2 linked regions of the Daphnia pulex genome follow. The main gene of each other region encodes a partner of the protein of the gene in region 2 in a complex. Links are inferred from orthologs where the notes say so. Each region holds a gene or a part of one and is shown on either strand. Other genes may lie near its edges. The genes, in order: eukaryotic translation initiation factor 4E type 2-like and GRB10-interacting GYF protein 2-like.

Region 1 (10,650 bases), on a different chromosome or scaffold from region 2:
TGGATGGAACAGACAGTGTCTTATAGTTGGGCATCTTAGTAAAGATGTCTGGCTTTCTTACTTTTGATGAAAATGAGTTCGAGGAAAGAAGTGCAAAAGAATGTTGGTGTATAAAAGACAATAAATTAGGTCCCTATCGTGTGCTGCGCGATCTAAGGATCTAGATAGACGTCGATATCACGAGCCACCATCTTAATCGATCCGACTAACTGGCCGACAAAAGCGAACATTTTCTTGCGTTGGAAATTGATTTTCTTCACCTGTTCTTGTATCTGAAAACGGCTGCAGCAATAGTATTTAATAACATTGTATTGATTCTTCATTTTGTCTCAACCCAGACAGCGGCGAGGAGTGTCGGACCAGTTTTTGCGAGATGCAAGCGTGCCAACCGCCGGAGATGCATGTGGGCTTATCTGGTTGGACTTAGTGTTCTTGCGCTGATCCTGGTGACATCACATCTACCTCGTTCTGGCTTCAATCCCACGACTTTTGTCGATAATGATGACCCAATCGAAAGCGGTGAGTAGCTTTACTTTACTTCCAATAGTTTCTCTTTAATTCTGTTTGGATTATTTCAAAATTACATTACTCTACTTAAATGTTTGATTAATTGAATTTAGTTGGGCTTTGGAGACGCCATTTGTTGGCAAACGAAGAAAAACGAACGTCGACTGCAACGCCAATTTTAGATCCGTTCGCCGGAATCAACTGCACTCCTCCGGCTATTGAAGAATTTCCACGGCCAGGCATCCCGCAATATGTCCGAGCCAAGGGTGGTCTCGTGGTCCACTTGCTCGTTTCCGCTTACATGTTCCTGGGTCTATCCATCGTCTGCGATGACTACTTCGTTCCTGCACTCGAAAGGATGGTGGAATGTATGTTGTAAATTTGTTTTTCTTATTTCCGACAATAATCAGCTAATGAAACCGATTTCCGGCAGCCCTGCACATGTCTCAAGATGTGGCGGGAGCTACTTTTATGGCAGCTGGTTCATCCGCTCCAGAACTTGCAACTGCAGTGATTGGTGTATTCATAGCCAAGGTAATGTCGAATGAATTTCTCGGGTTCTTTCATCAGAGTCAAATAAATGTAACTGATATATGTATTTTGTTACAGGATGACATAGGTATCAGTGGCGTGATTGGCTCTGCCGTCTTCAATATCATGTTTGTTATCAGCGTGTGCGCCCTCTTTTCCGGAGGTGTCATCTATCTGAATTGGTGGCCGCTTGTTCGTGACTGCATCGCTTATTTCGTGGCCATATTTGCTCTTCTCTTCACCATCTACAATGAAGTTGTCACATGGTAATGGAAATATTCGACATTCCAAATATCGATTTTGGAGCTTTATTGTCTTATCAAGAATGTTTTGTTACCATTTACCATTAACGTGCGCCATTAAACCTTGGCAGTCAAAAAATCTATTCGATTTTGTTTTAATGGTAACGTAATCGTTTTGGACTATCCAAAGGTACGAGTCGACCATTTTCCTGATGCTCTACGTGGCCTATTGTGTAATGATGGTCTACAACTCTCAACTGGAGCGATGGGCAAACACTTTGCCTATTCCTATTCCCGACTACGCCCGTAGACTTCCCGGTGGGGAAAACGCGTCGCTGATGCCCTACAAGAATCTTGACTCGGAGGCAGGTGGCATTAGTGGCCCCGCTGGGAAACTCTACACCGACGAAAGATCCCCTGGTAATGCCTCACACATCCAGGAAACTTTGTTCCGATTTTAACATTTTTCTTTGGAAATACTTCAATAGATTCTGTGAAATCTTCGATTGACGGAAATGTTGGTCCCTGTGACGCTGGAGGCACTTCCGGCCCTTCGATCAGCAAGATTAAAGAGGAGGAGGCAGAGCGATTTTCGCCGTGGGTACCACCAGTAGAATTTCTAGACCGGATCACGTGGGCCATCTGCCTGCCGTTGCGTGCTGCTGCTTACTACACGATGCCCAACTGCCGTTTAGAGAAATGGGGCAGTTGGTTCCTTGTTTCTTTTTTCATCAGCATGCTCTGGATTTCCATCTTTTCCTACGTCATGGTCTGGATGATCACTATTATTGGTTAGTAATATTTACTCATTCGAATATGTTTGTATTTATTAGACGGTACATTATTTTACTAAATTTGTGATCAGGTTTCACTATGGGAATTCCGGATACTGTGATGGGATTGACGTTTGTGGCTGCTGGTGTCAGTATTCCCGACATTCTAACCAGTTTGGCTGTTGCCAGAGAAGGTGAAAATGACTGAATAAAAGGAAAATTTGATACAAATAGTAATCATTCGTTCTCTTTAGGTTACGGTGACATGGCTACATCCAACGCCATCGGCAGCAATGTATTCGATATTCTCATTTGTCTGGGGCTACCTTGGTTTCTTCAAACGGCCGTCGTTGATCCGGGAAGTGTAGTTCGAGTCATCAGCAAAGGTACTGTACCACCGACACTTTCACCATTGCTCACGTTTACGGAACCATGAAGTATTATTCTGTTAAAAATGCAGGATTAACATATTCAACCCTATCATTGCTGTCAACCATTGTTTTCTTGTTGGGCGCCACTCATCTGAATGGCTGGAAGCTGGATCGCAAATACGGAGTTGCTCTTCTGGGGTGGTATTTGTTCTTCATGATCATCGCTTCTAGTACGTTTAAATTAGGTTTTATTCTAACTAACGCTGAATTTTGTATTAACCTATTCATAAATTTTACTCTAGTGTACGAGATGAACATCTTTGGCTACTTTAACCCGCCGGAATGTGACAGCGAATTTTGAGAAATGAAGCGCATCTATTCTAGGTGACCATCTTACACCAACAAATATCATCTTCTTGGCAACTCCAGTCATGCAGTATTTATAGGGAATCAATTCATGGTAACCTGGATTCAACAGGGAATGAAGCTGATATACAATCCGCACTATCTAGCTTACAAGCTGTTTCCCGGAGCTTGAACGGGCTCCGCAGCTCTCGGCCGCACATATATGGTCCTTGGTAGAGCTCAAAATTTTTATTCTACTAATCTATACAGATACAACTGCAACGATGTTTACATTCACAATAATATAAAATTATAGTTCATTTATTGTGTGGTTTAAAATTTTGTTTATTATTTTGCGATGGTCCGCCATCGTCCTTTTGTTTGTTTACATTTGATTCGTATTTCGGTGTCTCGACGTGTGCCAATTTGTTGATGTTAAATAAGTAAGGTTGCTTTCCATTTTCCTCTTTTGTTAATTTCAGTATTATATTTCGCAATCTATTTCACCGTGAAACCTTGTTTATCGTAAATCACTACTTACAATTCCGAATCGAAGTATCACCAGCAAAATTTTGACGTTCGTCGAGCGGTGAGCTACAATGGATGTTGATTTTTGATTTCCACTTTTCTCATTTAATATAACCGTTCATCACCCTATTCCACATACATTACGCATGTTTCTCACCTGAAAAATCTAGCGCATTTCTTAATTCTAGGCTGAATGTACTACTCCGTGTTAGTAGCATCTCAAGCTAATAAATCAACCGTCTGTCAAATGTGTGGTTTTGAGGAAAAATCAATTAACAACAAATAGTTTCACCACAAGCTCCCATGCTTTACAGTGTAAAGCTAATAAGTAATCATTACAACATTTGACGCTTAAGTTGGTTCTTCCATAAAAGTATTGAATAAACTCGTATTTAGAGATTATTCAACGAAGAATGTTAGACACATTTGAATCAAACTTTTATAAAGCTAGAAATAACAGTATCGGTAATGAACACCGTGACCAGGTCAACTTTCAACTTATTTATATTCCGCTTGAGATGTAAAATATTGTGTCTTTATCGGACAAAGACATCGGTATTCCGAAAACTGGAATTGTCCCTGGAGATTTGAAGGGAGAAGAGGTAGAGGAAAGAAAGAGAAAAAGATTATGAATTCTCATTTGAATGGCGAGACCACCATTCCGTACTTTAGAGAATCCGTGTGGTTTTTGTATTCAAGTATTGTGTTCGGTGGAAGGTTTAAGACTCGACGAAGTGTATCTCGAATTCGGTTGGTAGTAGCCTGATCACTTGCAATTCGATTCCATACCGAAATAATATCCTCCTAAAATATATATATTTATATAAATTATATGATTTTTAACACAAAAAACATTTTTCTTACAGCAAATCGAATTGAGACGACAGCTCCACATATTTCGTCGCCTACCATAAATTGTTCGCCTAACATAGCTAATATTAAGTTCTCCCAACAACGTGAGGCTAAACCTTTTCGAAGACGCACAATCCATTTACCACCACAACGATTGGCATCATCCTGTTGGGAAAAAAAAGTAGGTTAATAAACACTTCACCACCCTTATTATTATTTAATAATACAACCTCCCACATTGGTTTGATTCCATCTTTAAATAAATGAAAGTCACTGTGACCAGAGAGTTCACAAGGCCTGACCAGATGGCAATAGTATGACCAAAACTGTTCTACAGAAGCAAAACGTCCAACCATTCTTAGATTCTGATCAAAGCTTTGGGGTGCTGCATGTTTTCCAGGAGCTCTCCGACTAAACCACAAACAGTATGTGTATCTAAAAACAAATGGTATTTCTATAATTAACATGTACTAATAAAAGTAATATCATTTTCATGTGTACTGGAGTGGATGTTCTTCTCGAGGAACTTGAATGGGTTGCTGAAAAAAATTAACCTTTAAATTAGTAGGAAAAAATGGGTAAGTGAGCACATAAATTCGTCTATCGCAATTATCACATCATTAACATAGAGTTAATAGATATTACAATAATTTTTTGTGTATTATGCAGTTAATATCTCACCAAAATTAAATCCTTTTTCTTTCTTTCTTCACTGAATGAAGTTTCGTCGTCATCACTGTCTTCGCTGTTGTTCAACCTGTCGAAAAGCAACAAAGTAAACGCAAATTCTATTAAAACATGTATAAAATTTGAAAACTTACGCATCAAATTTATTGTTATTAAGGGCCATTTGTAAATAGTTTACGAAATCGGAGTGTTACAGTCAAATTGTTCACTTAATTTATACACCAATTTGCAGCATGTAGTAGAAAGACTAAAGAAAGAAACAAGCAGTATGTCCAGAAATGTTGTACAAATTTTAGATGGTGAAAACACTAAACAGTACCCACACTATAGAGTAGCGAAAAATTGCCACCAGTTGCCACCAGGTGACCTTCAAGAGGTTTTGGCGCCACACACTAGAGTACCCTTCCCAAAGCCAAAGCGCCACGGCCCACGGGAGAAAGATGTTATAGTTATTGTAACTTCTAATGTAATGGTAATAAAGAGATAATTTGAACCATTGAATTTTAAAATCAAGTAAAATATTGGAAATACATGTCATAGCAGAAAAAGTGACTTCGTGATTAATTTTTTTCCAAAAATAAGAATCAAAAATCAAATGGCAACGCTCAACACTTCCGCTCATTGGTTTCTTTTTTTGTAGCAGAGGTTTTTCAACACATTAGATCAAAGACAGGACTTCGAACCACGTGTGAAGCACGATGCATTCATCTGGTAAGCGCCATCACATAATATAAATTTTACAAGCTAGTTATAGGGATCGATTATGTGTTTTCACATGGAAAAGATGCATTGTAGTTTGCTGCACAAATAGTATGATTCGAAATTTACATTAATTTGGTTAATTCTGTGATCTACGGATTAATGTTGGTAACACGTGTCGGTTAATGTTAGCATTCCTGTGTTTCAGAAGTCCTAGGAGAGAAACAAAGTGGAAAGAAGTCAAGAAAGTCCTTGGGAGATATTCAAGGAGATTCAGACTTTGTGTTGGAGCCATCAGAAAAACCAGTAGCAAAATTGGACTGTTCACAATGGCCGCTGTTACTAAAGGTATGTTGTTAAATATTAAATTAAATGTAGATGTTCTCAAAATAATTTATTTTAGTATCTATCTATACAAGCATTATGCTAAGAATGCTAATGATTAATTTATCGAAAGTAGTGGACTGAAAAGACTGAAGACACTCAAAGATAATGAAGCATTTAAAACTAAATTCTTAAAATTTTTCTAGTTTGAAACTTGATCTTTATAGATATTAATTTTTCCCTTGTTATTTATTAAGAAATGTGAACATTTTCTAAATCATCTTTTTTTTTCAGAATTTTGACAAGTTAAACACAAGGACAAATCATTATACACCTCTTCCAAGTGGTTGTTCACCATTGAAGAGGCCAATTAAAGATTATATTCATGGCGGTTTTATTAATCTTGACAAGCCATCTAACCCAAGCTCTCACGAAGTAGTTGCCTGGATTAAGAGGATTCTAAGATGTGAAAAGACGGGTCATTCAGGAACATTGGACCCTAAAGTTACAGGTATGTTGATAGCACTCAGAAAATCCCATGGACTTTACTAATTGAATATTATACAGGGTGTTTGATTGTTTGCATTGATCGTGCTACAAGGCTGGTCAAATCTCAGCAGGGAGCTGGCAAAGAGTATGTTGCCATATTTAAGCTTCATTCTGCAGTTGAAGATAACAATCAGGTAGTTTCTTGACCCTTCTAGTTGAAAGCCTTATGCTAAAGATGCTAATGATTAATTTATCGAAAGTAGTGGACTGAAATGACTGAAGATAATTAAAGATAATGAAGCATTTAACTGAATTCTGTTAATTTTTTAAGTTAGAAACTTGATCTTTATAAATACTAATTTTGTATATATTTTTTTTATTTATTAAGATTCCTCGAGCTCTTGAGAAGTTGACTGGAGCTTTGTTTCAGCGTCCACCACTGATCTCGGCTGTTAAGCGACAACTTCGTGTGCGAACCATTTACGAGAGTAAATTTTACGAGTACGATGCCGAGAGACAAATGGGTATCTATTGGGTTAGCTGTGAAGCCGGAACTTACGTTCGTACCCACTGTGTCCATCTCGGTTTGGTGCTAGGCGTAGGAGCTCAGATGGCGGAACTCAGAAGAGTTCGTTCTGGTAAGCCAGGAAGTTTCTTTTTGTGTGTGTTCTTAAGATGAAGATTTTATTTTTTATAAGGTATCCAAAGTGAAAAAGAAGGGTTAATGACTATGCACGATGTAATCGATGCGCAGTGGTTACATGATAATCATAAGGACGAAACATATCTGCGGCGGGTTATTCGTCCATTAGAGGCATTGATGATGTCTCACAAGCGAATAATCATGAAAGACAGTGCTGTAAGTGTGTTAATATTTATCTATAATATTCTTTATAATAATGTGTTAAAAAAATATATAACAGGTTAATGCCGTTTGCTATGGAGCTAAAATCATGTTGCCTGGTGTATTGCGGTACGAAAATGGTATCGAACTAAATGAAGAGATTGTTATAGTAACAACCAAAGGAGAAGCAGTGGCTCTCGCCATTGCTTTGATGACGACAACAACCATGGCTTCATGTGACCATGGTATTGTTGCCAAAATTAAACGTGTTGTCATGGAGCGTGACACTTATCCCAGGAAATGGGGACTTGGACCTAAAGTAAAAATTGATATAGTTTACATTGGCGTTACTTGTATGTATATGTATGTATTTGTTTAATTTTAGGCTTCCGTCAAGAAGGGTATGGTGAAACAGGGACTCTTGGATAAGTTTGGCAAACCTAATGACAAGACACCTAAAGATTGGTTGACATCTTATGTAGACCTAAAGTATGTAATTCAACGCAGTATTTGTATCAAATTTTTCAATAATATTATATTTTTCTGTAGCGTTAAAAAAGAAAAGGTTGAACCAACTGAAGATGCTGAGGCACGAAAAAGAAAGTTAAGTGAAACGAGCGCCGTTGCTGATCCGTTGTCAGAATCCATGACGGAAACCAAGGAGAAGAAGAAGAAGAAAAAGGACAAAGACCGGGTAAGTGTTTATACTCTTGTGAAATAATGATGTCTTAATCATTTATGGATGATTTTCAGGAGCCGCAGGGTAATGAAAGCATTCTTGATGCCACCGTAGAATCGGTTCCTGAAACCAAAGAGAAGAAAAAGAAGAAGAAAGATAAAACAGCTGAAAATGAAGACCTTTCAATTGCAGTGGACACATCAACAATCAAGGTAAATTAAACTTGTCAATTAATTTTTTTTTTAAACAAAGGTGTCGTGATTATTTAATGAAAGTAGTGAACGGAATATTTCTGACGAAAATTACCTAAATGAAAACATACTGCAAATATTATTCGCCGAGTAATTTGGTATGCATTAGTAATGTGAACATATTTCTATTTAGGAGGAGTCTGCCAAGAAAAAAAAGAAAAAGAAAGATGTCGATCGGGAAGATGATTAATTATAATTGAAATAATTTGTAATATTATGTTTGCAAGAAAATTCGAAAATACAATTCATTTCATTTTTATGCTGTGTATTAATTTATCAGAAAGTTTCAAGATGTGACAACTTCATTTGCTCCTTCAAAATTTAACCCTTCAACATCAACTTCATTTTCAGAGGCATTTAACATGTTCAATGTCACTTCAGCTGTTGACTTGTTATTAATCATTTGGGGCTGTTGTTGAACAACTACAACTGCTTGCTGAGGACTTGAATTAATATTCTGGAGTGGACTTGGTTGAACAACTGGTTGGCTGATGACTTTGGACAAAGGAATACCTGCTGCCTCAAAAGTTTTTTTCTTCAAACTACCATGAATTTGTGTCCTAATAAATAGAAGCAAATAAAATTTGAAATTTGAACACTGACATATGATTTTTGCAATCAACTTACACTGTCTTGTCTTTAATATGTTCAGAAATCTTTTCAAGATCTTCTCCAAAGCGCTTAATGGAACTTCTCAACATTTCAATTTCATCTTCACTCCATTTTGACCTGTATAAGAAAAAATTAAAAATACAACAGTGTTACAAAAGTAAATTACTTTAAATTATTTACCCAGCATTGGCATTTTCTGAGGAATGTAGCTGCATGGTCAATTTCCCCAACGTACTGAAAGCTAAGAAAAATAATGGCTGAAATCACTCATTCAACAATTACCTACATACACCATGTGTATTTTACCTAATCCTGCAGCTCCAAATATATCGGCAACCTTATTAGCAGAGTTCATTCTTGTGCACTTTTACAAACAACTAACCCAGAAAATTCACCACAAAGTCAATTATTTGGTATAAAAAAACATAATTTCCCGTAGGGATTCTAGTCACAGTCGAAGGAGGCTCAGTTTTGACACGCCACCGCTGCAATTCAAACTGCAAAATTCAATTGCAGTAATTAGACACTTAAATTTACGTAATTGTGACAACAATCACGCAAATTTTTGTAGGCATTTGATTAAACAAAGAAATCTCTTTAAAATGGATCACATTTTACGAAGATATAATAGATTTATTTTTTAAAACAGCGATTCTAAGTCAAACGGGGCTCAGTTTCGAAACGCCACCGCTGCAATTCAAACTGCAAAATTCAAAACGCCACTAAACATTAACACAAAATTTACGTAAATGTCTTACAAATCACGAAAATTTTTGTATGAAAGAGATTAAACAAAGAAAGGTCTTCAAAATGGATCACATGAAGATATACTAATAGCTGTATTTTTTACACAGCGATTCAAAGTCGAACGGGCTCACTTTCCCGGCTTGATGTGTGTCAACCCAAAAGCTATAGTTTGCAGGCCTAACAAGAAGCGAATTTGGTGGCAATTTTTACGACTGCCCGGCGGCCTTGTATACATGTAGATCCCCACCAAACGTGAACAGAAAAGCGTCCGGTTTGTTTGTTTACGTTTTAAAGCAAAGTAAGTTTTACTACTGTACTGGTTTAGACAAACAAATTGGTTATTTACACATTTTTTGATATGCCTCAAGTCCATAGATATATGTAGAATTTCTATTTTTGAGTGTGATCTACCACAATTGACAAACATTTCTTACTGAAATATTTTCCTTTTCCTTTTTAGATGCCTGGAGAAGTTCAAATGGAAGACGAAGCTGAGACTTTCACATCCCAGGCCAAGATTGCTCAGCTTATGAGCTTGATTATCAACACCTTCTATAGTCGATCTCCAACTCCTCAAATGCCCTAGTCAAGATCCGTTATGAATCCCTGACTGACCCAAGCAAGTTGGACAGCGGTAAGGACCTTAAAATCAAGATTGTCCCCAACAAGAATGCTGACTCACTCTCATGGATACGTAAGTTGAGAAATTTAGTTCCTCCTATTTGAACACGAATTTGACTGTTCTGTTTCTCTTTAGTGGTATCGGCATGATCAAGGCTGATTTGGTTAACAACTTGGGTACTATTGCCAAGTCTGGAACTAAAGCTTTCATGGAAGCCCTCTCTGCCGGAGCTGACATCTCCATGATTGGTCAGTTTAGTGTGGGTTCCTACTCTGCTTACCTGGTTGCCGACAAGGTGACAGTTCATTCCAAGCACAATGATGATGAGCAGTATGTTTGGGAATCGTCAGCTGGTGGTTCTTTCACCATCAAGCCTGATCACAGAGAACCCATGGGTAGAGGAACCAAGATTATCCTCCACTTGAAGGTATGTTCTTTGTCTTCATTGGCATAATTTCCAATATGCTCATGCCTGTATTTTTTTTTTCATTATTGACAGGATTATCCGATGGATTACCTGGAGGAGAAGAAAGTCAAGGAGGTTGTC
Region 2 (11,349 bases):
GATAAATGGAAAAAAAACAAAATGAATTACGGGGCAATAAACAAAAAATCAAAGTAGGAGAAGAACCGAATGGATGAATAGAAGAGGAGCGTACGCGTCCGTTAAATTTCTACTATTCCAAATCGGGTAAGTCTTCGTCATCCTCGTCCTCTTCGCTACCACCAAGATCGTTCAAGTCCATCTGACCGCCACCTGCGCCGTTCAAACCGCCCATGCGACGCATCATCTAAGAAAAACCACAAGTTTTATTGACACTCTTAAAACGCTACCCTTTTTAATTGTATTAATTTCGACAAAGGTATCAGAATCTCTCACGTACCTCGTCGAGGTCTTGGGATTCTTCACCACCATTTTCCTCTGGCTCGCTATCGTCCTCGTCGCGCCACCTATTAAAGTCGATTTTGAGCCAGTGCACCTTCTTCTTGTCCTTGAAAATGGATGGCCAGTAAGGTCCCTCTTCTTTCTTTCGAAGGAAGAATTCTATGCTGCGCTCTCTGACAAAGTACTTTGATTCCTGCAATGAATAAAATTGGGTGAGTCTGCGACGATGCAAACATGAGCACACTATTAAACTTACAGCTGTGTCAATTTCACCAAATAAATCAATCGTGACTTCAAAAGTTTTCTTATCGGGACCTCCTGTTCCTTTAAAGTAAACTTTTGTTGGCTCAAGGGTGATGACTGGTTCCTTGCAGTCTTCGACATTAATAGTCAAAGACACCAGGTTTTTTCTCTGTGCCCACATGGCAGGAGGAGGTAATAACCTGAAAGATGGAATGAGAAAGATTAATTTTGGACGAGTAAGCACGGGCAATGAGCACATGGAATTGATTTGTTAAAGCATGGTTTTCAACTTTTGATCCTGACAAGCCAAATTCACAATCCATGTTCAAATGTCTTCCATTCAAGAAGCAAATCTCAATAGGAAAAACTATGGCAGAATCTAGAAACAAACACCGGCTTGAAAGCCTTATCAACCCTTCGTTAATGCTCATCACGCCTTCACAACCGATTACCAATTTTTGTGTAAGAAAATTAAACTCACTGTTCTGTAGCCATTTTACTGTGAGGAACGACTTGACGAAATTAAAACGAGAGTGAGAAGTTGTTAAAGTGGATGGTTGGACCTGAATAATCAAGAGGACCTTAATATAAGAAAAACGGGCAAAGCGTCAACTCAACTTTTCTTTTCTCTGGAACAATCCTACACGAGGTGATCGATTTACAACGTTGCCAATTCGGGGTTATTAGTGCCATATTTAAAAAAAGATTATTTATAATTTTATTTCTTTGTGAAAAAAAGCTGCTGCTAAATTATATTTTATCCTTGTATTTTTCTAAATTATATTTCTATTTTCGGAAACTGCTTTTAGCTATTTACCCATGAGAAATCAATAAAACTATTTCATCACGTTTTTCTTTTGAATTGTGGTCAAAATCAATGAGAATATTGAACGAAACATCCGGAAATCTCGAGAAAAAGAATACCCTTTTGGAAACTATCCAACAAAATTAAAGTTACCAAATTTCCCGTGGAAACTCTTAAAATTTTTGTGTTTTGTACGGAAAAAAAACAAACAATCCCACGAAAACATTAAACAAGTTGGCACTCATGCGGTGCTTATACTAATGAACTAAACGTTAAAGGAAATGCTACGAGAATTGAAAAACAATTTTTTTTTAAGATGTTTGTATTTGATTCGTGACCAAGATCAAATTGATATTTTTTGATTCAGTGCCGAAAAATTGTAACAGAACAAAATGTCCAGCCCTGATTCTTTTCTGCTGGTGAGGGATAACGAAAAGAACTTGATCACGTTTATATTTTTGTTAACTTTTATTGCTGCCCACCAACTTTCCACACTCAAGACGTTTTGAAATTGTTGCTGTTGGTGTGTTTGTTGCGTAAAACTTGTTGTGTGTCGACATCTTAATTGTCCATCCCTAAACCCCAATAAACAATAATCATATTGGTTGCTTTATAAGTTTGAACTCGTCTCTTGTCGTGTGTGGTCGTTGATTTTATCTTTTTTTTTTGGCTTTCTTTAACAATGATTCACATGCCGTCCACGAAATCGCGCTCACCGACGTTGATGCGATCCGTCGAAGCAGAAACGCTGAATCCCAACAAACTGGCATCCACTTTCTGCATCTTCTTCTTAGACTTCTTGGATTTAGACTAAAACGGAACATTTTCATTAGTGAAATGGTAGAGACAACGTTTTATCTTTTATTTTTAAATAATTACTTTAACTTCATGGAAGTCAGATGATTGTCCCGGATTTATGGCTTTGGCCGGGATGCACATGTTGTCCTCTTCGTATTGCTGGACGTTTCTTTGCATCTGGCGCCAACGAGAACGTTGATCAAGGAATTGCTTGGCGAACTCTTTGGCGTCTTTGCCCTCGCCAAGATACAAGCGAACATACTCCTGGACTTCAAATGGAGATTCCACGTCCTGTAATAAATGTAATCAAGAAAAAAAAATGTAGTCAAGAAACATTAACGACCCGACTCAAAAGATTAACTGTACCTTGAGAAAGGCGACAAATGTGGGCACATCAATCTGTGCCTGGACTTTCTTCAGGTACTCAAAACACCACTGACTAAAACTATCCTTCTTTTCAGCGGCGGCGGCGGCAGTTTGATTAAACAGCTTGCGAACCGCTTCTTCCTCCTTATTACTGCGGTTCTTGTTGTTCGACGCCGCCGCCGTCGTCGTCGAACCCGACGTTTTGGAAGTGGCCGGTTGTTGTTGTTGTTGCTTAGCTCCCGCTGCTTGTTGTTGCGGCTGCTTGGACGCCGCAGCCGCCGCAGCAGACTTGCCACCACCACCGCCAGCAGACTTGGCCGCCGCTTGCTGCTGAGCCGGTTTGCTCGTGGCCTTTGGAGGTGGAGGGGTTGGATCCTCCCAGAAACCAACCGTCAGGCCAATTTTCCAGTCGGCATTCGTGGTGGTGGAATGATTGGTTTTGGCGGTGGTGGTGGCCGCCGTCGCCGCTGCCGCCGAAGGGGGAGGTGGTGGGGGTTGCTGTTGGGCCACAACAGCGGCAACAGTCCGGCCAGAACTCCAAGCCGAATTACTGTGGTGCGATGACCCCCAAGCGCTGGCTGCCGCCAGATTCAGGTGCGCCATGTTCACCTGCTGGTTGGCCTTTTCTTTGGCTTCCTTCTCCTTTTGCTGGGCAAGTTGAGCTGCCTCCTCGGCCTGAATCTCGGCCAGAGACTTGGCGTTGGATGGGGTCGGAGTGTTTTGTTTGGCCCAGCGGAGCTTAATGGCCGCTTGCTGTTGTTGCTGCTGTAAAAGAGCGGCCGCACGAGCCGCCTGCTCGGCCTTTTGGGCCTGGGCGATTGCCCTTTCTTTGGCTTCCTTTTCTTCCTGCAACTTTTGAATTTCAGCCATGCTCAGCGATTCACCGGTTTGCTGTTGCTGTTGTTGCTGCTGCTGCTGTTGTTGGGCCCACGGAGCCATCATGGCCTGAGCAGCTTTAGCCTGAGCTTGAGCCTGCGCCTGTTGTTGAGCGGCGGCGGCGGCTGCAGCAGCCGCTTGCTGGGCGGCCGCTCTAGCCTGAGCCTGAGCCACGGCTTGCTGCTCCTGAAGCCTCTGAAGGGCTTCCTGCTGGCGGCGGTGTTGTTCGGCCGCCTTCTCCTCCTCTTTCCGGATCCTTTCTTCTTCTCGCCGGATCCTTTCCTCTTCCAGTTGCTGTTGTTTCAACTCCTCCTCTCGTTTGCGCTTCTCCTCCTCGCGCCGCCGCTTCTCTTCCATGGCTTGCATTTGCTGTTGTTGCTGCTGCTGTTGTTGCGCCAGCTCTCTCCTCCTCATTTCTTCCGCTTGCTGCTGTCGTTCCGTCTCCCTTCGCATCTCTTCTATCCTCATCCTCTCTTCCTCCCTCTCCTGCAACAAGAAAAGTTAAAAATTAAAAACACAAACATTCGCAGCTTTATTTCTAAATATTTACTTGAATTTCAAGTCGTCGTCGACGTTCTTCTTCCTCCTCTTTCATCCGCTTCTCCTCCATCTCCCTGCGGTGCATTTCGGCGGCCATTTGCTGTTGATGTTGTTGCTCCATTTGGCGCTTTGCTTCCTCGACCTTGGCGCTTTCAAGATCCCAAACGGACGTCATGGGCGGCTGAAGCTCTGCAGGACCGGCCTGGAAGAGCGCAGAGTGATTGTGCCAGGGAACACCGACGCCAGGAGGCAGTCCATGGAAGCCCGGCGCCACGTGATTGCCCATCACTGGATCAACGATGGTTCCACCAACACTTTGGGCCGCTACATGATTGGCGTTCCATTGAGCTTGTTGGATGAGACTTTGGATGGGATCCAGGACAACCTGGGCTTCTTGTGGTTTAGGGTTATTCATGATGGAGCTGGTAGGAGGTTTCGAAACGACGGCCGGGGGCGATTTCGATTGCCCCAGCAACTGCTGGATAAACGCCTGAATCGGATCATGAGACTTCATCAGGTTGTTGGGATTGTTGGCAAGAGCTGGCTGCTCTAATACTGCTTGCGGTTGCTGATGATGCTGCTGGCTGAGATGGTTGACTAAAGAGTGCACAGACTGCTGCTGTTGTTGTTGTTGCTGCTGCTGATGCTGTTCTTTGCTGCGCTGAAGCTGAATCATTTCAGCTTGGAGTTTAGCTTGAGCCTCCATCTGGAGCCGCAATTGCTGGAGGACAGGATCACCCGGGAGTGGATGCGGCATGTTTGCCATGTGCTGGTTAACCACCTGCTGCTGCTGGATGGGCGACAGCGTGTTCCAGCCTTCCATCTGCGACAATTTGGCAATGATCGTCTGTTGCCTGAGCATGTGCTGCTGCTGCATCATTTGCTGCTGGAACATTTGCTGCTGGATGAGTTGCTGTTGGAGCATCTGCAGCTTCTCCTGCTCGGCCGACACCAGCGGATGCAGGTCAGAGTTCTTCATAGGCGGGATGGGAGGGCCAGGCATGAAGGGCAGACGGCCCCACATCTTCGTCAGTTCGCCCAATTGAGCGTAACGTTCGTCACAGGCACGTCGGACACTCAACGCCATGGTGAAATAACCGCTATTGAACCATTCGCTCATTTCGGCCGTCGCAAACGGGCCTTGCACTTCACCCTGTGGATCTCTGCCTCGCACCAAACGAGCACAAGAAATTCACGCCGTTAAAGCAAAAATGAAACGAAAGAAATCAACAAATAAGGATTCAACCTGTAAAACCATTGATCCATGCTTAAGTTCAGTTGAGGGTTTGGCGGACTCGGCGATGGTTTCGGTTGGTCTTCGTCTTCCACCAACTGAGCCACCAGCGTCGACACGACCGCTTGAGCGTGTTCCAGGCCGTCCTCGTCCACACGCAGATTGGGCTGAGATAACATTGATGAGGACTCAGGACTAGGACCACGGAGGACGGGAGGACTTGAATTGACAACGGTGGCGGCAGCGGCGGAAGTGGCGGAGATTTGATGGGCGGCAACCTGGACAGGAGTGACGGCAGCCGGAGGAGAAGCTGACGGTTGTTCCTCGTGGATTTGTGAGTCTTTAACGTTGTCCTTGGAAGGGGAATCGACCGTGACAGGGCCACCGTCTTCATCCCCGACACCTCCGTCGTGAGACGGTTCGGCTCTCTTCCGCAACACGCGTCTCTTCTTGCCTTCACCGTCATCCTCGTCTGACCACCTTTCGTCGCGGAAAGCGCCGGAAGAGTCAAACGTTCCTCCCCCTTGTAAATGTTCTTCCGCGACCCTGTGTCCGAGATTTTTACAAATCAATTATCATCAAATTTTGTATTTGTTGTATTAGTTCAAGTCTTACCACTCGGGAAGTGAGTCGTTTTCATCCCAACCCCGCCGATTGGGATGGTGTCCGCCTCTACCACCCCTACTGCTATTAGAGTAGTAGCCAGCACTACCCGTTGGACGGCCATCATCGTCCCAAGTGCGATGGACTCTTTCTGAACGTTCTCCAGTTCCTCCGCCGCCAACTCCTCCTCCTCCGCTACTATTATTACTACCTTCTACCCACGGATCTCGTTTCTCACCACCCGGTGGATCACGTTCCCCACCTTCACGTTCAGAACGCCAGCCAGTTCGACCTGCGTGTGGTTGTTTTTTTTTTAAACAAAAGCAAAAAAGTAAAACGTCAAAACATGTTCGATGTGAACTCGCGTGTTACTACTCTGTACAGTACGTACCCCAACGTTCTCCACGACCAGCAGTTCGCCAACCATCTTCCTCTTCTTTGTTCTCGGCCCGTTCAGCGCGTTCTCTCATGGCCTCACGCGACCGCCAATTATTGTCGCCGGCGGCTGGGCGGGCAGTGCCAAATTCTTTACGTGGACTAGTAGAGCCGTTCCACGTCTCTGACTCGGCACCGCCACCATTTCTCTCGGGTCGCTCGATCCAAACCCGTTCAGAGGAGCTCTAAATGAAATAAATACGTAATGAATTTGACTATTAAATTGGGTAGTAGATGGGTTCAACCTGGGATCGCTCGAAAGGCCGAGTAGTTCCTCTTCCATAACCTGTCGGTGGACCTTCTCTGCGAGTCCCATGATCTCCTGGATCTCCTCCATCTTCATAACTCGTTCCACGATTGTACGCTCCGACTGCTGAACCAACGCCGCGAGCTCTTCCTCTTCCACGATCCATACTTCCTCCGCCTCGGCCTCGAGAAGCTCCAGCTCCCACCGGTGGACCACTGCCTCCAACGGGTGGACCAGCAGTTCGACCCATCTGTTTTAGGACAACATCACTGTTGACTCCTCGCTGCCACATACGCTAGAGAAAAACATTGAGGAAATGAAATCAAGCAACAGGTTAACCAATGGGTAACAGGAGAACCAACCAAAACAAATAGACTAACCATCTCTTCGTCAGACATTTGAATAAGTGCAAGGGGAGTTTGTGTCTTTTCAATGTAGATTGGTGGGGCTGTGGTTAAGTCATCGGGGGCCTTCATCATTTTGTCATAAAGGGCTAGCATTTCTTCTCTTCCGTACCGGTGTTGAGCCAGCTTGTATCGAGGTGCTCCAAGGCTGGGACTGGGTGGTGGGGATACTGCAGTGTCTCCGTGAGATAAAGCTCTGAGCCTGCAACATCACACAAGAATCACACAACTCCAGTATAGAATCATCACTTTGTTTCATGCCATGATTCTTTTGGTGTAAACATTTACCATTCAGGTCCGAACTTTAGGGCAGTGTCACTCATCTTCAAGGGTTTTGCAGTGGTAGTACTGTTTTGAGAAAGAAAAAGAGACCTGTCATTAGTATGAGACCATGGCCCAAACGAATTAAAATCATAATAATGGCGCGCCGTATGATGATTAACAGAACATCTAGAATCGCAAGAACCACACGCTTTCTCCGACCAAAATGTAACATGAAACTTCTTGCATTTCGGAAGATTTTGGTTGCACTACCTCATGATTTGCGTATGCGATTTCGCTCTCGGACGAATCCAGAAATATTTCAGCAGAAGCGAGAATTAAGATTTTTAATATTCTTTTCGGGTAGAGAGGGGTTTATAATTATCAACCAACGCACTAGAGCAGCGATAGCTTTACAAGATGTCGGATACCAGGGGGGAGGAGCCAACGGGCCTTGTTGTCGCTACCGAAATTTTACTAATTTTAAATTATAACCATGCCGAAATCACGACGCAATAAATTAAATAAAAAGATAATAATCATTTTGAATATTCATTTGCTTTTATTTGTTGTTTTTGATGATGAAAAAGCCATTATCAAACCAACGTCGGTCTCTGGTCGTCTGTCGTCGCAAAACGTCAACAAAGAGATACAACTGCAACTTGAGCCAAATCAGCTTCATTCTCACAAGGTTGTAACGTTGTTCCACATAGCTGATCTTGATCTGTGAATATTGCGTCATCGACACAAGTAATTGTGATTGATTTTTGCCACAGTTTTCTTCCAAATGGATCCCTCCGTGTTAACGACGTTGAAAATCCTCATTACTGGCGAAAGTGGCGTTGGTAAATCAAGGTTAGATTAGCGTTGTATTACTCGTTTATCAAACCTTATCTCGATTTATTGTTCTTTCAGTTTGCTGCTTCGTTTTACTGATGACACATTCGACAATGAACAGGCTGCTACCATTGGTGTGGACTTTAAAGTCAAATTGATCAACATTGATGGAAACAATGTCAAGTTGGCAATATGGGTATGACACGAGCAGACTTGACATCATTTTCCATTTGTTGATTTATCATTTTGAAAAATTCCAGGACACAGCTGGTCAGGAGAGATTTAGAACACTGACACCCAGCTATTACAGAAATGCACAGGGTGCTATTTTGGTGTATGATGTGTGCAGTCGACAATCTTTTTCCAGATTGGATGCATGGTTTGATGAACTGGAAACATACGCTACAAACACAAATATTGTCAAAATGTTGATAGGCAACAAAATAGACAAGGTAAGATATTTTAGTAACGTTCAGTGGACATTGTTTCACACTTTTCATATTCCCAGGAACGAAGAGAAGTAAGCAGAGAAGAAGGGCTCAAGTTTGCCAAAAAACATTCAATGCTTTTCATAGAAGCAAGCGCGAAAACTAAAGATGGAGTCCAAATGGCCTTTGAAGAACTTGTACAAAAGGTACGAAAATAACTTTTCCCCAAAGAGTCTTATCTCTGTCGATTCCTTGTGTTATCATGTTTTATATTCCCCACAGATTATTCAGACGCCTGGTTTATGGGAAGCCGATGCGTCCTCTCAAAGAGGTATGTCCCTCTCCGACAGAACTGAAGGCGGCCAACCTTGGTCATGTTCGGGTTACTGCAGTTTGGTATGAAGAGACAACTGTCATTCTTATTGTGTAAATTTCTTCGGGGTTTGTTTACGAAATTCGAGACACTTGATGCGTCTGCTGTCCAACAATGGACCAACTTTATTCGTCATCCGACTAATTAGTTGGTAAAGAGAAAGCTGCTCAGTTGAGCAATCATGGCTTATTAGTTCTTTAACAAAAATGTTCTTGTCAGAAATCCACATCATGTCGGTTTGTTTCGGAAAGCGCGTGAAAATATACATTATTTCAAAATAATCCAAATTTTCCCGTTGTTTAGATACGTACACTGAAAGTTCGCTTATTAGATTAAGCATATATGTACTCTGTTTATCTTGAGATGATTGCATCGCTGTGAAAAGTGGAACAGCAGTTGTCGATTGATTCCTTGTTTGAATGTCGTAGCGCTTGACTCGATGTAGGACACGATATACAGTTATTCATTCTTTATCATCGTGACGACGCAATCATTCTAATCATTTAATCGCAATCGTCTAGACGTCGGTCTGCTTAAACGTTATTTTTGTGTTTATTTAGATTTCCGTCTTTGTTTGAGCGCGTGGCACACGCGTGGGAAATACCTAAAATATTTTTAAATCGGTCGATTATAGCCCACGATTAAAAAAGAAACGCGTGTGGCGTGATGGTCGGTAAACGTCACCGAGTTTATCGCTGCCTCCCTTTGAGGTTACGATGACGCGATCTGTAGTAGGGAGGAAATAAAACGACGCCACTTGTGGTGGCTGATTGCACAATACGTCGCTGTCTAGACACCGGGTCACGTGAGCCAGATTTCTTTTAATAATGACGACAATGGAAAGGTTATTTACAAAAATTTGAGATCGCAATTTAAAATAAATCGAGTTTTGTCAGACGGGCAACGAACTCGAAACGGCCGAGACAGCGCCAAGTGGCGAAAATCAAGAGACAAGCGATTGCGGCCAGGATTAAGTAGACGTCGACCAAGGATCGCTGGAAACGGTTGAGATGGCGAGAGCCTAGCTGCAACTGCGGGGCGCCACCGTGTCGTGCAATGTACTCGGCCCAGTACAATCCGCGCTCTAGCGGACTCTCTGATTGGTCGTGCAGCAAATTCTGACGTCTGCGGACATTTTCCACGTACGAATCTTGGTAAATCAGCTCGTGGATGGTGCGGTGGAGCAGCTTGTCTTCGATCTCATTCCAGCGCAATTGCAGGGCATAGCCGTCGCGGACCGCCTTGTCCATGTTGAGCAGCTGATCGCTAATGAACGGCAAACCCAGAACGGGAACACCGTGGTAGATCGCTTCTTGCGTGCTCAATAGGCCTCCGTGAGTCAGGAACAGTCGACATTTCTCGTGACCTGTACGCAATAATTCACCGTTAATTTTTGAATTTACATTCGAAATTTAGTAAGCTCCTAAATACCTAAAAGATCCTGTTGCGGAAGCCAATCGACTAGCAGAATGTTGTCGGATAAATTGGCCGGTTTGTTGAAGCCTCGCCATTGCCAGACGACTCGTTGCGGTAAGCGTGAAAAGACTCGGATGAAAACGTCGAGCATTTCTCTAGGCATTTCGTCCATCGGGATGATGGAACCGACTCCAAAGACGATGAAACCAGCGCTACCGGACTCGGCCACGAATTGTTCCAGGCGATGCGGAAGAGGTTTGGCAGGGCGGCAGTGAATTCCGCCCAATTCGACCACACCTGGTGGATAGGCTCGAGGATAACTGAACGCTGGATGAGTATTGGCAAAGGCGGCGGTGATGTTGGCCTTCATTTCAATCAAGGAAGGAGCCCCAGGGAAATATTTCTCGATGGCCGGCTGCAAGCGCGGAAAGACGAACACGTCCTGGTAGAAGTTGAGCAGATGAGTGACGACCGTGTTGATTACGCGCTGCACCAAATTCATTTGGTCCGTCAGGGCCATCAGAAAGAAAGGGACGTACTCCTTGAAACGGAATAAAAATATGCGCCAGGTCAGTAATGAATTCAAAATTATATAAGAACATAGGAGCGAGATTTCAAGGACAAAATGTTGATAGAAGACCTGATCGCCTTCATGAAGGTTTCATTACCGTGTGCTCAGAATCGCCCAACAGGTAAGCCGAGTCTGTCATTAGAACATTCGGGCTGGATAATATGAAAGGACATTGAAAATGCCATGCTAGAGGGTAGCCAGCATAGGAGACCACCTGCGACAACAGGAGCAAATCAAACTGGCCGTGACGCAAGACCGATTGGACGCCAGCGTCGCTGTACGTTTGATCGAGGACTCGGTTCACTTGACCAGACAAGTGGCTGAAAATTTTCAACTGCGAGCCGATCGATTGTTTGGCGGCTATTTCGAAAAAATTCTGCTCGGCGCTTTCCGGGTCCAGCATGGAATAATTCAAGTTTGGAACGACGACTTCGTCCAAGTTGTACATCATTTTATGGTAACGAAGGTCAGTCGATTCTTGATTGGTGATAAAAGTCACGCTGTGGTTCCTCCTTAAATAGACGCAAAAATAAAAAGTTAGAATTTGAATTTAATAATGAAAAGTCTTGTTTTATTCAATTTCGTACTCTA

The links.
Region 1: the proteins of GRB10-interacting GYF protein 2-like (region 2) and eukaryotic translation initiation factor 4E type 2-like are in contact, whole or in part, in a crystal structure (PDB 5NVM), measured with the Homo sapiens proteins. The link is inferred for Daphnia pulex from reciprocal best matches to the Homo sapiens genes GIGYF2 and EIF4E2. Residues at the interface, in NP_001096616.1 of Homo sapiens: Leu38, Ala39, Asp40, Tyr41, Arg42, Tyr43, Gly44, Arg45, Met48, Leu49, Leu51, Phe52, Leu53, Asn56, Lys57, Ile58, Pro59, Asp61, Leu62, Asp64, Glu66, Phe67, Pro69, Ile70, Leu71, Gln72; in NP_004837.1 of Homo sapiens: His54, Pro55, Leu56, Gln57, Tyr64, Arg66, Asn81, Lys83, Gln84, Ile85, Gly86, Thr87, Val91, Glu92, Phe94, Trp95, Arg96, Phe97, Ser99, His100, Met101, Val102, Leu107, Phe113, Glu149, Asn150, Leu153, Leu156, Gly157, Glu158.

What each region holds. Positions count from the first base shown.
Region 1 is NC_060025.1:6,906,498-6,917,147, reverse strand, and holds eukaryotic translation initiation factor 4E type 2-like, read right to left. Parts: upstream 5,176-10,650; 5' UTR 5,000-5,175; coding exon 4,971-4,999; intron 4,907-4,970; coding exon 4,831-4,906; intron 4,704-4,830; coding exon 4,651-4,703; intron 4,585-4,650; coding exon 4,380-4,584; intron 4,315-4,379; coding exon 4,162-4,314; intron 4,102-4,161; coding exon 3,965-4,101; intron 3,877-3,964; coding exon 3,834-3,876; 3' UTR 3,784-3,833; downstream 1-3,783. Other genes in the region: probable sodium/potassium/calcium exchanger CG1090, read left to right, coding at 339-519, 621-875, 941-1,041, 1,117-1,304, 1,471-1,700, 1,769-2,071, 2,146-2,247, 2,308-2,439 and 2 more; H/ACA ribonucleoprotein complex subunit 4-like, read left to right, coding at 5,535-5,547, 5,744-5,883, 6,154-6,370, 6,427-6,542, 6,737-6,986, 7,047-7,207, 7,272-7,511, 7,578-7,681 and 3 more; chromatin complexes subunit BAP18-like, read right to left, coding at 8,409-8,682, 8,750-8,851, 8,915-8,975, 9,041-9,089; heat shock protein 83-like, read left to right, coding at 10,168-10,175, 10,239-10,530, 10,603-10,650. UniProt on the Homo sapiens protein: Recognizes and binds the 7-methylguanosine-containing mRNA cap during an early step in the initiation. Acts as a repressor of translation initiation.
Region 2 is NC_060018.1:13,095,608-13,106,956, reverse strand, and holds GRB10-interacting GYF protein 2-like, read right to left. Parts: upstream 7,585-11,349; 5' UTR 7,412-7,584; coding exon 7,407-7,411; intron 7,221-7,406; coding exon 7,161-7,220; intron 7,075-7,160; coding exon 6,849-7,074; intron 6,764-6,848; coding exon 6,467-6,763; intron 6,407-6,466; coding exon 6,178-6,406; intron 6,079-6,177; coding exon 5,799-6,078; intron 5,730-5,798; coding exon 5,196-5,729; intron 5,113-5,195; coding exon 3,960-5,112; intron 3,896-3,959; coding exon 2,534-3,895; intron 2,459-2,533; coding exon 2,249-2,458; intron 2,180-2,248; coding exon 2,057-2,179; 3' UTR 1,834-2,056; downstream 1-1,833. Other genes in the region: co-chaperone protein daf-41-like, read right to left, coding at 113-226, 320-514, 578-764, 1,046-1,059; ras-related protein Rab-18-like, read left to right, coding at 7,921-7,988, 8,049-8,166, 8,231-8,422, 8,479-8,604, 8,681-8,800; UDP-glucuronosyltransferase 2C1-like, read right to left, coding at 9,644-10,137, 10,203-10,728, 10,856-11,270, 11,346-11,349. UniProt on the Homo sapiens protein: Key component of the 4EHP-GYF2 complex, a multiprotein complex that acts as a repressor of translation initiation. In the 4EHP-GYF2 complex, acts as a factor that bridges EIF4E2 to ZFP36/TTP, linking translation repression with mRNA decay.